2 linked regions of the Caenorhabditis elegans genome follow. The protein of the gene in region 1 purifies or fractionates together with the protein of each later gene. This does not show direct contact. Each region holds a gene or a part of one and is shown in the gene's direction. Other genes may lie near its edges.

What was found. The genes of interacting proteins can lie anywhere in the genome.
Region 2: the proteins of vig-1 (region 1) and teg-1 purify together in Caenorhabditis elegans (affinity purification with western blotting; one study listed by BioGRID). This does not show direct contact.

The regions. Positions count from the first base shown.
Region 1 is NC_003280.10:1,319,340-1,323,609, forward strand, and holds vig-1 (Hyaluronan/mRNA-binding protein domain-containing protein), read left to right. Parts: upstream 1-1,697; 5' UTR 1,698-1,808; coding exon 1,809-1,872; intron 1,873-1,993; coding exon 1,994-2,107; intron 2,108-2,154; coding exon 2,155-2,338; intron 2,339-2,396; coding exon 2,397-2,823; intron 2,824-2,874; coding exon 2,875-3,222; 3' UTR 3,223-3,734; downstream 3,735-4,270. Other genes in the region: fcho-1 (FCH domain only protein 2), read left to right, coding at 413-639, 687-746, 790-915.
Region 2 is NC_003281.10:11,311,694-11,318,661, reverse strand, and holds teg-1 (GYF domain-containing protein), read left to right. Parts: upstream 1-1,606; 5' UTR 1,607-1,613; coding exon 1,614-1,751; intron 1,752-1,851; coding exon 1,852-2,157; intron 2,158-3,560; coding exon 3,561-3,833; intron 3,834-4,718; coding exon 4,719-4,928; intron 4,929-5,830; coding exon 5,831-5,965; 3' UTR 5,966-6,433; downstream 6,434-6,968. Other genes in the region: mcm-10 (Protein MCM10 homolog), read right to left, coding at 310-591, 731-827, 890-1,092.

The DNA.
Region 1 (4,270 bases):
TTATTAAAAACTGCAGAAAATTGATGGGTCTGCTAATTAAGAGTTTGTAGTTTGTAGTCTAGCAGACCAAAATTTATTAAAAACTGCAGAAAATTGATAGGTCTGCTAAATTTGATTTTGTAGTTTGTAGTGTAGCAGACCAAAATTTATTAAAAACTGCAGAAAATTGATGGGTCTGCTAATTAAGAGTTTGTAGTTTGTAGTCTAGCAGACCAAAATTTATTAAAAACTGCAGAAAATTGATAGGTCTGCTAAATTTGATTTTGTAGTTTGTAGTGTAGCAGACCCAAATTTTTTATTGAAATTGGCAAAATTGCTGAGTCTGCTAAATAAAATTGAGTTTTTTGTAGTACTTTTTAAATGCAAACGCCAAAAATAAAGCCTAATAATAAAAATCCGCATTTCTTTTCAGATCTCCGTGTCGACTATCGCCTCAACTCAGAATCTTCCATCTCGGCGCCACTTCTCAACGTGAATTTCAGCACAAATTTGACGGGAAGCGTGGATTCTGTGATGTGTGAGCCAGAAGCCAAATGGGTGGCTGGAAATCCGTCACTCGGCTGGAATTTGCTGGAAATTTCAAGAAATGGAGATGTGCACGGATCGCTGAAAGCAAGGATATTTATGAAGAATTCTGGGGTCGGGCTTTTTAATTGCTTTAAAATAAAAAATATATAATTTTCCAGGACGAAGTAAGCTTGGAAATGCTCGATCGGAAGCCGGCGCAGGTCTTCGTGCAATTTCAGGTACTAAAAACTGAAATTTAAGCTCTTAATTTATCTTTTTCAGTGCCTGGAAGCCAATCTATCTGGAGTGGACATTTCCCTAGTGCAATCGGATATTTATCACCTGTCTATGATTCGTAAAAAGGTGCTCGCTGGTAAATATTTTTGTGATCCCGAGCTGCGGAAATAGAGAAGATGAAGAGCTTTTTAATTTGATTTTTGTTTTAATTTTTCTGTGTAAATATAGCATAATTCTCGCGAAATCTGTGATTTTAACAAACTTTCAACTTCTAGTTTTCCAATTTTTCACCACCAAACGAGTTTTTCCACTATTATTCGTTATCCCCCGCTGTAATAAATACTTTTTCCCGGCATTTTTACTTTTTTTACACACATTTTGGGCTGGAAATGTCATAAATTTCTTTTCAAATACTTTAAGACAACAAAAACAATTGGAAAACAAGTTTTCCCCCAACCAAAAATTGATTGAAAATGGCCGAGGACTAGTTTTCGATTTCAAACTGCCGCCCATTTCGGCGGTCGCATTTGGCTGCGTAGCGGCTCGCAAACGCCAGTTTACACTATTGTGATACGCAGCCAAACCTTCACCTGTCCGATTTGAACAGTTTTTCCGATTTTTTTTGACCGTTTTCGCCGGTTTTTTGTAATTTTTTGGGTTGCTAGCAGTAAATCACCGATTTTTGATCAAAATTGCACTGAAAAATGTTTATTTTATTCCGAAATAGTGGATTTTGAGCAATTGTTGATTTTCTGACTTTTGATTCGATTTCTTTCTGGAACATTCAAAAATTCCCTTAAGAAAATGCAATTTGCTTTTTTTATTTTTTGATTTTAGTTGTGAAAAGTGCTTAACTGATTTAAAATATCGCAACGGTGTCTGGCTAATTATACTCTTTTCTTAAATATCGATTTTTGTTTGAAAATTTGAAATCTAAACTAACGTTCTTGCAGGTATCCCCATATTATGGGTTATTGATTAACTTGGCATTGAAATTATTGAATTGAACAGAAGCTTCCTGCACTTGGAATCTTATCTTCATCGAATCAACACAAACAGCAAAAATGAGCACTGAATACGGTTGCCAGGTCACCAACAAGTTCGGTCTTCCATCCGACGACGACGATGGTGAGTGGTTGATGATGATGATCGCCGGATGATTATCTTATCTTCCCGATGGGATATTGCGCAATATTCATATGCGATATACTCCGCCCAGAAGACATTATAAAAAATCGATAATTTGCAGAGTATGACGACCCAAGAGAGCTCATCCAAAAGGTGTCTCAAATCGCCGCCAAGAAGAAGGAGGAAAAGTCTGTGAAGCCCGCCCAGCCGGTCAAGCCAGCCGCTGCTCCAGTTGGTAAGAATTGGCATTCCTATTCTTAAATTAATTAAACATTATTTCAGCCGCCACCAAAACCGACGGTGCTGCTGGACGTGGACGCGGAGGACGTGGTCGCGGACGCGGGGGAGCCGGCCGTCCACGTGACGGAGAACGTGTCTCCAACGAGAACGGTGATCGTCCACAAGGCGAGAACCGTCGTGGAGGACCCCGCAGAGGCGGTGAGCGCGGTGCTGCTCGTCCAGCTGGGTAAGAAACGCTTAAATTTTTAATTTTTTTTTTCATTTTACTGAACTTTGTATTTTAGACGTGGAGGCCGCGGAGGATTCACTCGCGAGAACAGAGAAGGAGAGGAGCCAAAGCAAGAGGTCTCTTTCGAAGACGGACAAGATACCCGTGCCCCAAGACGTCGTGGAGGATTCACCCTTGGAGGTGGACCATCTGGCGGACGTGGAGGAGGCCGTGGTGGACGTGGGCGTCAATTCGATCGTCAATCCGGATCCGACCGTACCGGAGTTCGCTCATTCGACAAGAAGGACGGACACGGAAAGGGCAACTGGGGAGACCAGAAGGACGAGTTGGCTGGAGAAACCGAGAACATTGCTCCAGAGGGCGCTGAGAGCACCGAGCCAGAGGTTCCACGTGAGAAGACCGCTGAGGAGCTCGCCTACGAGGCTGAGTTGGCTGTTCTTGCCAAGCAAAAGACTCTTAAGGAGTTCAAGGCTGCGGCTAAGGTGAGTCGTATAAAATATTAGTTTTGGAATTTATTTTTTTTTTTGTTTCAGGCTGACGCTCCAAAGTTCAACACCAGAAAGGCCGGAGAGGGAGCCGCCGATACTTTTGGCAAGCTCGTTCCAATCAAGAAGGAGGTCATCCCAGATCGTGAGGAAGACGAGGTCGTCGTAATCCACAAGGCTCCAAGAAAGCAAGTGCTCGACATTTCGATCACTTTCCGCAACGATCGTCCAGAACGCGAGCGCAACGACCGTTCTGAGAGGCCGCAACGTGGAGGACCAAGAGGAGGTGGACGCGGTGGAGGCCGTGGAGGACAACGTCAAGGAGGTCATGGAGGACGCAACAACACTCCATTCAACGCTTCTGACGATGCTTTCCCAGCTCTCGGTGCCAAGTAATTCCCCCCCCCCCACTCAACGACCTTCAGCCAACCAACCAATTCGCCCGCCCTCATTCAAATGCTCTGTTCTTCTCTCCATCTTGTTTTCTTCAAAATTCTCCTCTTTTCAATATCTTTGCCTGTGCCCATCTACCCCACAAATTGTTCGTTTCCAAAATGCCTGTTTCTTATTTTTCTTTTTTTTCTAGTTCCCCCATTTAGCTTGTTGTTGTTATCACCTGCCTTATCGATCTCTCTTCTGATGAGTTGCCCTCGATTTGGTTTGCTTGTTATCTCCCGTTTTTTCTTTAATTTTTAAGCCCTTTGAATCCCTTGATCTTCCACATACACCCACCAAGACGACCTCTTCTTTACCAAATATTTGACACAACAAAAGGTCTCAATTGTGTCAAGGATCAACGAACTAGTACTAGGAAACTCAATTTGTGCCCCTTCCAACCACCACCCCATTGCGCCCAGGTTTCGTTTTAATTGGAGTTTGTTGTTAACAAGATTTGATAAAGCATCATTTTTGTGTTAAACACCCCAATCATTCTATATCACACACACACACAAACACCCATTTTTCTTCTTTTTGCCTCCACACACCCCCCCCCCCCCCCCCCACCCAACTGTATCCGTATTTTGTAATAAAACGGTCTAAACCAACCACAGGGGCGTGGCCTGACACATGCCATTTCTAGGCCGCGAGCCGAGTGCTCTGATTCTCTGCCGCCTCTTTTAGAGAGCCGCGACGTCTTCTTCAGCGGGAGAGAGGGAGCACCCCCCCCCCTCCCCATTGCTCGGCAAAAACTTTTGCTCTCCTTTCACTTCTTATTGATTTCCCTTCTGTTAGCCGCCTAAATTAGAATTTTTAATTCTTCAGATTCTCAATAGAGCGAGCTTGCGTTCGAAATAATTTAATTTTTAATTAAATCTTCCTGCGACTCTTCTCTCTTTGGAAATTGCTATTTCGCAAGTTTAGTAACGATTTTATGACAGCAGCGGCGTCCGAATTTGAAATTGAATTAGGTCCCCTGAGAAGCTTTTTAGACTATAAACTACAA
Region 2 (6,968 bases), on another chromosome or scaffold:
TTTCGAATTTTCTTTCAATTTTATAAATGAAAAAATCCCAAAAAGTTTGAAACTACAGTACTATTTAAAGGCGCACACCTTTTCGCATTTAACAGAAGTTTGTCGTGTCGAGACCGTAGTTTTGGAGCAAAAATCGAGAAATCCGACGAAAAATTTTAAAAGTAGGAATTTTTTAAAAACGAATTTGTAAGTTTTAGAACTATGAATTTTTTCTAAAAAATTTAATTAAACACCTAAAAAAAAATTTTTTTTTCGATGTTTTTTTTCTGAATTTTCCGAATTTTCTATTCATTTTTCCGTTCTAAAAACCTTTAAATCATGTAATTTCCAAATCAAAAAATCATTTCCATTTGCACTTTTCTTCTTGAAACCCTTTTCCACAATAACACCAATCGTGCACCATGCTTCTTTGAAATTTGACGTTGGTTTCAGATTTGATAGCTTTTCAAGCTTCATTCCAGCAGTAAATGCTCCAAAACTTGTCGCCGAAATTTTCGGATTCCGAATCGATATTTGAAATTTGTCGAATCTCACAATTCCGACGGTTACTGTGTCGGTGGATGGTTTCGTGAGCCCGGTGAGCACTGATTTCTGAAAAAAAATTTTTTTTTGGTTTTGGCGTTATTTTTTTTTTGATAAATTGTAGTTGTAATTGTTATGATTTTAAAAAATCCAAAAAAATTAAAAAATTTTGGGTTTTTCCAGATTTTTCTTCGACTTTCCACCATACTTTATTAGTTTTCCAAGCATCTGTGGCCTTTGGCCCACTCGTTGAGCTATTCTTCTCCAGATGCCGCTTTAAAAGAGCTCCTTGCTCCGTGAGCTCTCTGAAAGAAGAAAAAATTGGAGAAAATTTTGCATTTTTCGAGAAATTCGAGCTTTTCCCTACCGTTTTTTCACATAAAGCTCCTCATCATCACTATCATCATCTTCATATCGATTTTTCGAGCTAGAATCGCTGGGTTTCTCACTAGAACCTTGATTTTCGCAGGCTTCTTCCATGTTCAGAAGCCGCGGGGCTCGGTTTACAGGCTTTAGCTCCTCTTCTTCGACTCCCTCGAGCTGTGTGAGTAGGTCATCTAGGGGATCCATCTGAAAATTGAACAATTTGTGGAAAATTTCAGCGAAAATGACGGAAAATGAGAGAAAATCTGGGGAAAATCGGTGAAAAATAAATAAATAAATTTAATTTTTAAATTTTCAATTCCCGCTACCTGGAGACACTGGAAAAGTAGTCCCGGAGAAGTAGAAATTCCAGAAAAATAGGCGTGGTTTTGATTTTTTGCTGTGAATTTCACATTTAATTGATTTATAGATCAAAATCAATTTTTTCTGCACATTTAACATTGCAATAACAAAAATTCGCTTCAAATTTTAAGCCCAATGCGGCAATTCTCTGTCCTCCAAAACACCCTCCATAGCGCCCAACTCCGCAAACACCGTCACGCAAAACTGCACACAATCAAATGTTTTCGCCGAAAAATCGGTTTTCTTTTTTTCTCTCATTTTCCGCGCATAATCCCAACTTTTATTTGATTTTCGACAATTTTCCATCACCGAATGACTCAATTTTTCGCAAAAATTACGAAATTTCACTCATTTTCAGCCAAAAAATGCCGAAACGCGCCGTTTCTTTCGCCGACGACATCGAAACGAGAGTTTTTAAGCGGGATAAACGAGAAATTGAAGATGGAATATTGGATATTCCAATGGAAGAAGATGTGGTGAAGGAGAGACCAGGAAATGCGGATGTAAGTGGCTTTTTTTGCGAAAAAACCCGGGAAAAATCGAAAAAAATCGATATTTTTCAAAAAAAAATCGAAAAAATTTATTTTTTTGATATTTTTCCAGGAAGACGAAGAGGAAAAAAAGAAATTCCACACATTAGAGTCAGATGAAGAAGAAGAAGAGGATCACAAACGTCTAGATACCCGAAGAGTTGAAGGTCAAGAGGATTGTGGTGTGGATTTTGATGGATCTATTAAAATTACGGCTTTCAATATGAAAGAGGACGAGGAAGAGGGTCATTTCGATGAAACTGGAAACTTTATTTTCGATAAAAAGACAAAAGATGTTCAAGACGCGTGGTTGGATGGTATTGATTGGAGTTTAGTGAAGAAAAAGGCCGGAGATCAGTGGGAGGGCGATGAGGACAAGGTTCGACACGGGAAATGGAGGAAAAATCGAAGAAAAAATCTGATTTTTACGCGGAAATTGCCGAAAAATCGATTTAAACCTGAATTTTTCATTTTTAAATTTGAAAAATACGGTTTTACGCACTAAAATCGGAGGAAAATCGATCTCAGCCTGGATTTTGCGCCCTAAAATTGATAAAAGCTGGAAAAATCGATTTAAAAATAGTTTTTCTGGTTAAAAATTGAAAAAACCGAATTTTTGCACTGAAAATGGCTGGAAAATCGATTTTTACCTGACTTTTTTGCTTTAAAACTGACTGAAAACAACGGATTTTTGAGCTGAATTGGCGGAAAAATCGGTTTAAAAGTCGATTAAAAAACAAAATTTCCGAAAAAAAAAACAGGATTTTTGCATTAAAAATGGCTGGAAAATCGATTTTCACTTGTATTGTTCAAAAAAATCCTGAATGCTTGAAATTCAGAGAAATATTGCAAAATTTCGCGGAAAACTTGATAAAATCCTCCAAATTGACGAGAATTCTCGGAAAATGTAGCAGAATTTTAAAAATCCGAAGAAAATTCCAAATTTTTCACGATTTTTCGATTAAAAAAGTTTCAAAATGTGTCAGGGGTGGGCGGCATACGATTTTTTCCGGCAAATCGGCAAATTGCGGGAATCGAAAACTTCCGGCAAATTGTCGGAAATAAAAATTTCTGGCAAATTGGCAATTTGGCGGAAATAAAAATTTCTGGCAAATTGCCGGAATTGCCGGAATTGAAAACCCGGCAAATTGGCAATTTGGCGGAAATAAAAATTTCCGGCAAATCGGCAAACTGTCGGAAATAAAAATTTCCGGCAAATTGCCGGAATTGAAAACCCGGGAAATTGGCAATTTGGCGGAAAAAAAATTTCTGGCAAATTGCCGGAATTGCCGGAATTGAAAACCCGGCAAATTGGCAATTTGGCGGAAAAAAAAATTTCTGGCAAATTGCCGGAATTGCCGGAATTGAAAACCCGGCAAATTGGCAATTTGGCGGAAAAAAAAAATTTCTGGCAAATTGCCGGAATTGCCGGAATTGAAAACCCGGGATATTGGCAATTTGGCGGAAAAAAAATTTCCGGCAAATCGGCAAACTGTCGGAAATAAAAATTTCCGGCAAATTGGCAGATTGTCGGAATAAAAATTTCCTGCAAATTGGCTAATTGGCGGAAATAAAAATTTCTGGCAAATTGCCGGAATTGCCGGAATTGAAAACCTGGGAAATTGGTAAATTGGCGGAAATAAAATTTCTGGCAAATTGCCGGATTTGCCGGAATTGAAAACCCGGTAAATTGGCAATTTGGCGGAAATAAAAATTTCCGGTAAACCGACAATTGCCGCCCACCCCCCTGATTTCAATATAAAAATTCCTCAAAATTTCCAGAAATCCTTGGAAGACGAAGAGCCGGAGCCAATTACAATGAGTGATGCACGAAAAAAAGAAATTTTCGAGCAACTTGTCAACCTCCTGAAACCCAATCAAACAGTGGCTAAAGCTCTTTCAGAGCTCAAAAAGAAGAAAGGATTAAGTGCTGCTGAAGAACGGAAACTTCGTTGGGCCGCCAAAAAAGCCGGAAAATCATTTGAGCCAACTGATGGGCAGAAGGAAACTTCACAGCTCTCTGGGCTCGCTGATGAACTCATTTCTGCTGGAATTGTTCGTTTTTCACAGCTTAAAGTTCCAGAAAATTCATGCTACGCTCAATTTTTTGAAACGAAATTCATAAAAAACCCGCGCGAATGTCGAAAAAATTGCCAATTTTTAGCCAAAAATCGAAAAAAATTCAATTTTTGCAAGATTTAGACCGGTTTTAATTTAATTCGTTTGTGAAAAATGCGATTTTTTCACAAAATTCGCGCTGAAAAAAACTGGCAGAGTGCAGATTTGCCGAAATTATTCAAATCCGGCAAAGTGCCGTTTTGCCGGAAATGTTCATTTTTGGGAAATTGCAGATTTGCCCAAATTATTCAAATCCGGCAAAGTGCAGATTTGCCGGAAATGTTAATTTTTGGGAAATTGCAGATTTGCCCAAATTATTCAAATCCGGCAAAGTGCAGATTTGCCGAATATATTCAAATCCGGCAAATTGCCGGTTTGCCGAAAATATTACAATCCGGCAAACTGCAGATTTGCCGAAAATATTCAAATCCGGCAATTTACCGATTTGCCGAAAATATTACAATCCGGCAAATTGGCGATTTGCCGAAAATATTTTTCTTTAACCCGAAAATTTAGATTATTTTTCTTTTAGATCAATTTCTTCCGGTGTTTTGATGAAAAATGACAATTTTCAGCTAAAATCTGAAAAAATTCGGATTTTTCCAATTTAAAATACTTTTTTTTTTCAGTGAAAAACGTAAAAATAGCGCGCATTTTCATTGCGAAAACCTATATTTTTTCACAAAATTTTGGTGAAAAACATCAAAAATAGCGAAAAATGAGCATTTTTGTTAAAAAAGTTAAAAAATTTCGATAAAAAATATGAAAAATTCCAAATTTTGGCCAAAAAACTCAAAAAAAAAATCAGAATTTTAATTCCAGATGGACGCCTACGAATGGCATCGTGAGAAATTCAATTTCCAATTGCAAAAAATGATAAGTACAGCCGCTGATGAGTTGGATATGTTCTCTGATGAGCCAACTTCAACTGGAGCAGCAAGAGCAGCAGGAGCTCCAATGGAGCAAGAAGAAGAAGAAGCAGATGATAGTGTTAAATGGGAATATAAGGCTAATGAAGAGGCGAAAATTGAGGTAGAATAGTGGGAAATTCTACGACAAATTTGATATTTGAAAAGAAAATACTGGAAAAAATCCCAATTTTTACTGATTTCAGAGGAAAAAAAATAATTTTTTCAGTGAAACAAACTAGAATTAGCCAATTTTCTGCAATTTTGAGCAAGAAAATTGCAGAAAATATGGAAAAATCTACACATTTTCATATTTTTAAAGTAAGAAAATTACCAAAAAAAAAAAAAAAAAAAGTAAAAAAAAGAATTTTTTTGAATAAAAATCGGATAAACTTGGTTTTTGAACTTAAACATATTTATTCGGAAAATTCTCGAAAATTTTCAATTTTATTGCATTTTTAGAAGAAAAACATTAAAAATTATCTGAAAATTCACAATTCAGTCAAGACAAAGTCAAAATGCCTGAATTTTTGGTAATTTTGAGTTGAAAAATTGTTGAAAAATTGTCGGAAATTCTCGATTTTATACCGAAAAATCCTAATTTTTCAGCGAAAAAACGGACGATTTTGGCGAAATTCGTGTTAACAAAATAGTTTTTTTTTTTTTAAATGAAGAATTGATTTTTTTAAACCAATTTTTTGGGATATAATCAGAATAGCCTATTTTTAGCAAAAACTTTGAACATTTCCATGAAAATTTGGTGAAAAATGTCAAAAATAGCCAATTTTTATCCAGAAATCGAAAAAATTCAATTTTTGTTAGGTTTAGACCCGTTTTAATCGAAATAGTTTTTTCTTATTAAAATTCACGCTGAAAAATCCGGCAAATCGCCGGTTTGCCGAAAATGTGTTCGAAAAATAAATTAAAATATGTCAAAAAAATTTCAAAAATTTTTTTTTGAAAATTCTGAAATTTTTTTTAATGAAAAAAAGTCTCAAAAAAAGTAAAAATTTTTTCCAATTCCAGGGCCCGATTCCGACTTCAGAAATGATGGATCGCCAATCAAAAGGACTTCTTTCGGCAGAAGGTGTTGCCAGACGTTCTGGAACAAATGGACATTTTAATCCAGTTGCCAGAATTGATTTCGAGCTTTATTTGTAAAAACTCTCCTAAAAAACCTCTCCTCCTCCTCCCCTGAATTTTAGCAATTATATGATTCATATTTCATTTTTTTTTGTTTCATTTTCATTTTTTCCCCCATTTTTTTTTGTTTCTCTGAATCTCGTTTTCACTCTCTATCTCTCTCTCATCACTTAGAACACACATTCATTTCTCTCACTTTTTCCGCCTGAAAACAGCTGAAAAAAAGTCGGAAAAATGATTCGGTGCCGAAAACTTTTCAAATACCGAAAACTCGCTATTCAACATGATATTTATCACAGTTCCGATGACATTTCTCGAGGTTTTTTCAATTTTTTTTTGTAAATTAAATTTTTTTTTTCCCGTTTTTTTTTTGCCCTTTTTGGTCCTAAAATTGCATTTTTTTTCAAGTTTTTAACTTGAAAATTCATTTTTTTGGCCTATTTTCGCCCCTAAAACTGCACTGTATTATATAAAATCCCCAATTTTTTCCTTTTTTAAAAAAGCTTTTTTTTTTAAGATTTTACGGTTCCAAAAGCCGCTAAGTTTCTGCTGAATTTTCTGGGAAATTTCTAGATTTTACATTAAAAAACAAATTTTTTTTAAAATTCTAAATTTTAAACTTCGCTAAATTTCTAAATTTTGGTGTAAAAAATTAGAAGACAAATTTTTTTTTAACCGGTCATTTTCCGAAAATGAAACCTCTGGTAATTTGCCGGTTTGAATATTTCCGGCAAATCGATAAATTGCCGGATTTTAATATTTCCGGCAAATCGATAAATTGCCGGATTTTAGTATTTCCGGCAAATCTACAGTTTGCCGGTTTGAATATTTTCGGCAAATCTGCAACTTGCCGGATTTGAATATTTCCGGCAAATCGATAAATTGCCGGATTTTAATATTTCCGGCAAATCTGCAATTTGCCGGATTTGAATATTTCCGGCAAATCGGTAAATTGCCGGAAAATCCAGTTTTTTGCCGGAATTGAAAATATTTTTTAAAAAATTTTCAAGTGTAATTTTTA